2 linked regions of the Nothobranchius furzeri genome follow. The protein of the gene in region 1 interacts with the protein of each later gene in a biochemical or structural test. Links are inferred from orthologs where the notes say so. Each region holds a gene or a part of one and is shown on either strand. Other genes may lie near its edges.

What was found.
Region 2: the proteins of pstpip1a (region 1) and ptpn18 form a complex in vitro, tested with the Homo sapiens proteins (2 studies listed by BioGRID and IntAct). The link is inferred for Nothobranchius furzeri from reciprocal best matches to the Homo sapiens genes PSTPIP1 and PTPN18.

What each region holds. Positions count from the first base shown.
Region 1 is NC_091744.1:68,453,402-68,457,782, forward strand, and holds the start of pstpip1a (proline-serine-threonine phosphatase-interacting protein 1a), read left to right. Parts: upstream 1-1,452; 5' UTR 1,453-1,563; coding exon 1,564-1,593; intron 1,594-2,253; coding exon 2,254-2,354; intron 2,355-2,427; coding exon 2,428-2,502; intron 2,503-2,617; coding exon 2,618-2,652; intron 2,653-2,750; coding exon 2,751-2,857; intron 2,858-2,958; coding exon 2,959-3,021; intron 3,022-3,311; coding exon 3,312-3,416; intron 3,417-4,381. Other genes in the region: rcn2 (reticulocalbin-2), read left to right, coding at 785-928. UniProt on the Homo sapiens protein: Involved in regulation of the actin cytoskeleton. May regulate WAS actin-bundling activity. Bridges the interaction between ABL1 and PTPN18 leading to ABL1 dephosphorylation.
Region 2 is NC_091755.1:47,287,306-47,291,122, forward strand, and holds part of ptpn18 (tyrosine-protein phosphatase non-receptor type 18), read left to right. Parts: intron 1-918; coding exon 919-957; intron 958-1,037; coding exon 1,038-1,106; intron 1,107-1,215; coding exon 1,216-1,278; intron 1,279-1,347; coding exon 1,348-1,490; intron 1,491-1,884; coding exon 1,885-1,951; intron 1,952-2,386; coding exon 2,387-2,464; intron 2,465-3,118; coding exon 3,119-3,208; intron 3,209-3,708; coding exon 3,709-3,803; intron 3,804-3,817. UniProt on the Homo sapiens protein: Differentially dephosphorylate autophosphorylated tyrosine kinases which are known to be overexpressed in tumor tissues.

The sequences.
Region 1 (4,381 bases):
TGAAATGATAATAATATAAGGAGGCAATAATTAGATAAGTGGCTACTAGATACAAGTCAGTGTAGGTACTGGTCGGAGTGGATCAGTAACACTAGGGTCAGGTGACTGGAATAAAGCAACTGGAGTGGGCAGTTCTACGAGTCCGATCGCAGAGGGGATGAAACTGTTTTTGTGGAGAGAGGTTCTGGTCCGAATGGTTCGGAGCCTCCTGTCAGATGGGAGCAAGTCAAAAAGACTGTCCAGGGTGAGACGGGTCAGCTGATATCCGACCTGCTCGCCTCAATATCCTAGAGGTGTACAGGTCATGTATGAAGAGGGGTTTACAGCCAATGACCTTCTCAGCAGAGCGTACAACCTGCTGCAGTCTCTTCATATCACTGATGGTGGCTCCAGCGTACTAAAGGCCTCAGATGCTTTAAGAGCAGACTTAACAACTATAATTTAGATCTAAAACGGTTTGATCTTCTGAATTAAGGAACATTTTTTTTACTTTTATACACATCTGCTACAATAACAAAGTGACACATGTTGGCCCAAACAGGTTCTTACACATTATCTCATAAAAACAGCAACCAAAAGTACATTCTGTCTTTATTGTACTTCAGTAAATTAAACTGTGGGAGAGCTGGAAGAAGAAATGATGCATCTAAAGTTAGGCTGTCTATACGGTGCATTCTTTTTGTAACATTTCTGTCTAACCCTCTGCTGTCCACTACAAGTTATTGTTTGGAGGCATCAGTTGCCATATAATAATTTTTCTGTTTTCTTTACTCGTCATTAACAGGCTCTTCACCTCATAAAGGAAATGGACCTTGATGGGGACGAACGGATTTCACTGGCAGAAGTTTTAAAAAACCAAGAGATGTTCATGAACAGTGAAGTGACGGACTATGGCAGACAGCTGCATGTGTCACATGATGAACTATAACCTTGTTTTTCATCTTTTATAGAAACACTGTTTTTAACTAAATCAAAATTTTAGTTTTTTTGACTGATTATGTATTTTGTGCAACTGTGGAAACATAAACTTATATTACAGCAGATGTTTTATGTAACAAGTGACAAAAATGACGTGTCCTAATAATGTAATAATGTGATGTTACAAACAAAAGTGCTTTAAAATGAGTCACCTCCAAATCAACCAACACAAAATGTACAAACTGCTGTTCTTTCCAGTTGAATTGACACATTTGATCGGAAATCCCTGTTTTTGTATCATCCTCTTTGTAAAATAAGGAGGAACTCATTAACAACTTTTAATGATTTATCAAATAAACAATTGATCAAAACACACCTTACTGGGGTTTACTTGAACAGTTTTTAAAAAATGAAGTGAAGTTAGTTTTAATTCTATTTCGGTGCCGGAGTTAGTGTCGTTGCTGTTGTGAGCTCGATTGTGTCACCTCTTCCTGATTTAAATGAAATGACACTGCGAGTGAGAGTTGCTGCATGAGGGTTTGTTTCCTGAGTGTGTCCTGATGTGCTGCAGTTGCATCGAAGCAGACCGCCAAGTGGCACAACAGCGTGACTCGCTAACTGGAAACGTTACCAAACACTACCAAGATGGCTTTACAATTTAAAGACTCGTTTTGGGTGAGTTGGCTGAAATTTGCTGATTCATTTTTAGATTATATTTTATGTTCTAAAAGGAACAATGATCTCTTCTGAACTGTGAACCTCATCACTTAGATGTCAAATTTATTGATGCTTTTTTGTTTTGTTGTATGAGCATTTTGGATCACAAGTCATTTTGAGTCTGGCTTTATGTTTTAGACGTCCTCTGGAGATTTCTGTTAGCTTTTATTGCATGAAAAGTCATTAATCTGTACTGTTACTGTTCTTAATCACTTGATCGTGTCTGATTTTTAGAAGAAAGATGGGTAAAAGTAACAAAGCTTTTTTTATAGTGTAGCATGCTGCGATCCTACCCTTGAGTGTATATTCACATAAAGTCCTTTTTTTAGATAATTTCCTGTTAATCTGGCAACTCTTTGAGATTTTTGTGCTCTTGATTCTCAGACAGTCATCGGTTTTACAGATGTGAGGAGTTTTAACACCTCTGCCACTGCTTTTTCCAACAATGCAACAGTTTCTGTTTTACTAAATATGGCATGCTCCCTACATGAGGAAAGAAGAATAATGCTCACCAGCTAATGATTGATAATCACCGCCTTCAGAGTTTATTATTAAAATTATTCATTAACTGTGTGTTTTAAACTGCAAAGAAAAAGATATACCTCACTTTTTCTGCAGGGAAAAGACTTTATCAGCTGTGATGGTTACGAGGCCATTATTCAGAGACTCAATGATGGTCGGCGGACGTGTAAAGACACGGAGGAGTTGTTGAAAATGAGGTAAGTTGAGTTAGTTGTGTCTGTATTTAGAAACTAATATTTAAAAAGTGTGTGTTTGTTGATGTTTTCATAGAGCTTCAGCAGAGGAGAAATATGGAAAAGAACTGGTTTCAATCGCCCGAAAAGCTGGTGGTCTGGTTGAGATTTGGTGCGTGCCAAAGGGTTCATTCGTGCCCAAATGCTCATAATTTATGGTCTGATGTTATGTTATGTGTTTATGCATCAAGTAGAGTGTGCAGTTATTTTCTTCTTCCTTTCTGCAGCACTTTGAGGACTTCATTTGATGACATGAAAACACGTAATCATACCACATTACCCAGCATGACTTGTTTCTCTGTTCTGTTCTGCTTTTGTATTTAATTTTTTTTAATATATAATGTTTTGTTTTCTTTGCAGAAATGGAAAATGTAGGGAACTTGCACATCCAGCTTTCTGGTCTCCTAAAGGACGAGGTGAAGAGAATGGAGGAATTCAGAGAGAGACAGAAAGAACAGAGAAAAAAGGTGTCGACTCCCCCCTCCTCCCATTTTTGTTGTGGGTAAAAGAACAAGGAAACGCAAAGTAAAGAATTTCTTCTTTCTAACATAAAAGTCTTGTCACCCAGTTTGAAATCAGCATGGAGAAGGCTCAAAAGATGAAGGTTTCTCTCTACAAGAAAACTATTGAGGTAGGGTCTCTTAGTGATTGGTGTTCTATCCTACATCTAAGAATCAGATCCTGTGATTTTTACACCTTACACATACAAGAACATTAAATAGACTCATTTTTTTTTTACTTTTTAAAAACTTCAGTTTATGTTGAGAGGAAGGAGGTGTGTGATATTTTTTTGCAACATGCACCATGTCTTCTTTTTTGACTAAATACCTCTGCTTCCTGTTGAGGGTTCAGAGTGAACTACTAATGAACATAGATTCTTGCGTCAGAGTTTCATTGGGTCTCTGTTTCCTGCATCAACAGTCAAAAAAATCTTATGAGCAACGCTGCAAGGAGGCGGATGAGGCAGAGCAAACGGCTGAACGGCTGGGCAGCGCTCCCACAGCGACTCCCAAACAGATCGAGAAGGTAAACAAGCTGCTTTATTTTCTTTTACAAGATGAAGGGGATTATGTCTCTAGCGTTCAAACTTTTTAGCTGCTTTATTTTTAGCATCAATTGAGCATTTTTTCTAGCACATAAAATAGTTAATAATTTGGGTCAAATTAACTAAAAAGCCAGTCAGTTTGATTCATCAAACTTTGCAGCAGTTAATGATTTGCCAAATTATGTATGATGTGTCAGAATCTGCTCCCCTGCCCCATCATTTGATCTTGTGCTTCCCTGTTTCCCTATTACTCCTGACCTGACTCTGAAATAAAAGAGTTTCTGCTGTCTTGGTGGCCTCTCAGAAGCGTATTCATCTGGATTTGGATCCTCACCTTCCTACATCATGACAATAAGAAATAAAATGGGCAGAAATACATACACACTTAAAGAAACCAAACAACAAATAACATGGTTACACATTGTAACCCCAGATTCTAAGAGTATAGACGCAGCCCTTTAAAGGCCTCATTCAGGAAATTTCTCTGAATTACTCAAATGTGGCCCTTAAAGGAGTAGTATGCCGTTTTGGCTTGCTTTTAGCACCCTCTAGTGTCCGTTAGGTTAAAAAAAGTGAAACTTTATATCATCTTAATCTAACTGCTGAAATGTCTCCTCATCCCGGTTTCACACTGAAAGCATCAGCAGGGCGGAACGGCAGCGGAACGTCACTGCTTCAAATTGAATCCATTATAGGAATGTTTCAAACCAGCAGCGACGCGGCAATTTCCAGGCATGTCCCAGAAGTGGCACGCCGCTTCACTAAAGACGGGCTCGGGTTCTATTTTTGCTGCGTGTCGCTTCTAGAATGCGTCAATTTCTAAAGTTAACATAGGGCTAGACAGGAAGTCACACACGGTTTTAGTGTATCATCACCGGTAAATTTCTAAATAAAAGTACTACAGCGATGCTCTTTCATATATGTGAAGCTTACGTGTGACCCAACG
Region 2 (3,817 bases), on another chromosome or scaffold:
ACAGTAGAATCAACATAGAGAAACGCTAAAGTCGGTAAAAAATCATTTAGTACAATAAATGATTAAAAGTCAATAAAAGCTATAAACGATAAAGCTAAAGAATAATTAAGTGTTTTTAATCTCAACTTAAATGTTTTTACATGTGTTTTTGATACCTTTAACACGATAAAAGGGTTTTTTTTTTCAGTCCAACTGCATCCGGAGAAGATTGATGATGTCAGAGCAGCAGAAACCTAAAAGTGTGGTTCACACTTCAAATGATTAAGTCACTCTGAGGGTTTCATGCAGGCTGAACATGAAAATAGTCTCCTACACCTATCTCCTGCATTAGCTTCTGATAGAAAACAGACGGTGAAACTCTAGGATTAGCAAATCCTGACAGATCTACGTCACACTGTCACCTAATGTTCATGGACTCACCCATCTGGACTCACGACTGGGAAGGCTGTCGTTGGTTTAGTCCAGGAAACAGCAGAGAACATCTCTGCTAGCACTGTTAGCATTAGCAACTCCACCACACAGCAGAACTCCTCTTGACTTGTGCTATCTGTAGAGTTAAATCATCAACATTGCAGCGCAAACAGAGTCAGCGGTAGAGTCGTGCTGCTGTTAGCCAATCAGAGGAGAGACATCTGAATATCAGGAAGTAAGACTCCCGATCCTGTTGTCTGAAGCTCAGCTGATGTGGCTCCTTTCTAGTTCCTGGAACGGGCTCACCGGCGCTTTTTCCCCGGAGTACGACACACAAGGCCTTCATTCCTACTAGAGACCATTGCACATGTGTTGATTAAATGAGCTACCCACATCTCTGAAGTGTGTGTTAACGTGAATGGATGATCACAAACTAATAAGCAGTCAAACTGTCCAATCAGAGGTTTTTACAGTCGGGCCCCTCTGACTAACACCCCTCTGTTTCAGGTGATAGTCATGGCCTGCAGAGAGATCGAGATGGGGAAGGTAAAGCATGTTTTATGCGTGTTTGTTTGATGTGTGATTGAAACAGCTGAACACTAAACATCCGAGCAACCTTCCTGCAGAGAAAGTGCGAGTGTTACTGGGCTGCAGCTCTCCAGCCAGTCGTGTTCGGACCTTTTACTGTCCGCTGTGTAAGTTCACCCACAGGTCACACAGAGGTCATGTTTAATTAACACGTAAATCAACAAGAGTCAGATTCAGTTTCAGCTCCTTGTCCCGGCTGTCCCTGTGTGTCTCCAGCAGGGAGAGACCAAACCCAACAAGGACGTCGTGGTCAGAAATCTGACCGTCAGCTACCAGCAGGTCCAATCCCAATTCTGACGTAAAACAAAGAAGCTGCTTCCTCCGTGACCTCCTCTTGTCCTCCTGCAGGAGACCCAGTCGGTGATCCAGTACCAGTACACATCCTGGCCAGATCACGACGTTCCCTCTGACACGGCAGGAATTCTGGACCTGCTGGACCGAGCCAGAAGCAGCTGTGGAGCTGACCCGTCACCTCTCCTGATTCACTGCAGGTGCACACACACACACACACACACACACACACACACACACACACACACACTGAACTGCAGTTGACTTTGTATCATTACAGCAGCTTGTTTGTAGCAGCAGCACTGATCACAGGTCAGCTGGTCATTAACATTTAACAGGACAGCGTAACACACGCAAGCACACACACACACACACACACACTCACACACACACACACACACATGCACACACTCACACACAAACACACCCACTCTAGAGCAGGAGGTGGTGAATATGCAGCAGGTAACACCTGCTAACGATGGCACAGTTAACATGCTCAATGCATCTGTTAGAGTCTGTGTGTGTGTGTGTGTGTGTGTGTGTGTGTGTGTGTGTGTGTGTGTGTGTGTGTGTGTGTGTGTGTGTGTGTTATAGTGCCGGCTGTGGGAGGACAGGAGTCATCTGTGCTCTTGACTACATCCATGACCTTCTGGTTGCCACGGTAACACATGATAACAACTCCTGCAAACCAAGCTCATTTAAAAAAAATCTCTTCGTAAACAAACGTAAGCCAGGACAGGTTCTGGGAGGGTTCCGAATACTCGGGCCTGGGTCCAGAACCCAAATAGGGTCCTCCTCATGTTTAAAGGCTAGAAAGTCCAGGAACCACTTGAGCAAACATCTGGGACCATCAGATCAGTTGGAGGTCCTCCAGCTGCTCCCAGGTTCCTCCGTGGCCTGAATCACAACAAGAAGTTAAAGAATCCATCATGGATCTGGTAGCTCAGCAGGTTCTCCTACAGCAAGTCAACCAAAAGAACCAAATGAAGCCTTGAGAGTCTCAGCTAGAACATGGGTACTCGGTCCAGACCGTCTGAGCGGTTCTGCCTCTGTGGCGTTTGTTTTTCTTCACCCTTTTGTGTTGTTGGTTCTGCAGCAGATTCCTAAAGGCTTCAGCATCCTGAAGGTCGTCCTGGAGCTCCGGAAACAGAGACCTTCAGCAGTGCAGACCCAGGTAGGCAGATCCACGAAGGCTCCTCACACCAGTCCCTGGTCTTACTCTAGTTCCTGGACCCGCTAGTCGTCACTCTGGTGTGTGAACCTGTTCTCCGCGTTTGACCCGTCTCCTGGGGGAGTGGTGAGCTGCAGACACGGCTGCACTCGGGAACCGTTTGGTGGTGTAACCCCACCAGTCCAACCTCTTTATGCTGAGGGAGACACTGGGTTCCATTTCTGAAAGTCTAGTCTACTAGTCCCTGGTCCAGACCAGTCCCGGTTCCATTTGCTTCTCTGAGTTTTCGTTGGAGATGGTTCTTCAAGCAATGCTTTCTGAGGATTTGTAGAGCTCAGTGGTCCAGGCTAGACCTCGTCCCTCACACCCTAAACTCCCACCAAATTCTTTGAACAGTTCCTGAGGTTCTGCTAGAAGAACCCAGGATCCATCCAGTGTGTCAAACTGGATCCTCCAACATCCAGACTGAAGTGGGCCTGTCTCTAAGACCATCAGAACCATGATCAGCTCATTAAAGGGACTCTTCACTCAAACAGAGACCCGTCCAACCCGGCTAAAGCACCTGCGGTGGCCGGACGTCAGCAGGTGGTGCTGCTGAAACGTTCCTCCACCTCAGACCAGTTCCAGGTGTGTGACTGGACTCTCTTTTCCATCCAGGACCAGTACCAGTTCATCTTCAGCGCCGTCATCCACATGTTGGAACGCTTCCTCCAGAAGTCGGATCAGCTGTACTGGAAACAGCAGGAGGTACGCAGTCTGAGCTGCTCGGGGGTTGGGAGGGAGGTGCCGTCGTGACTTTAGAGGAAGTTGTTCCACAGCTGCTGCAGAAACAGGAAGTGGTGACACTGATTTCCTGTTTGTAAATTCTGAGCCGCCCACAGTTTGACACAGGTTTGTCCAGAACATTCAGATGAGAGGAGCCAGGTAGGACATCACACACACACACACACACACACACACAGTTCGATCTGATGGGAGGAGCTGTTCAGGAGGTCGGAGGACCCCTGTACCCTGCTGCTGCTGTGCGTCTGATGGACCACCTGACCCTGAGTGGTTCCATCATGACGGTCTGTTCACTCACCTTCCTCCCAGAGGAGATGACGACGCTGTGATCTCTGGTTGTGTTCCTGGTGTCGTGCCCAGGACGCTGATCTGATGTTGAAACATGTTTTCCTTTTTTGTTCTTTTTAAACTATTCTGCCGGAAACAGAAGCTGCGAGCTGAACGGAGAAATTTTTTGTTATTAGGTGAAGAAACTTGAGAAGGAAGCTTCAACGCCAGCGGCTTTCTCCATCAACAGGTACCGACCCGCAGAGAGACAGACGGCGCGTTTCACCCCGAGGTGTTGAATTAACA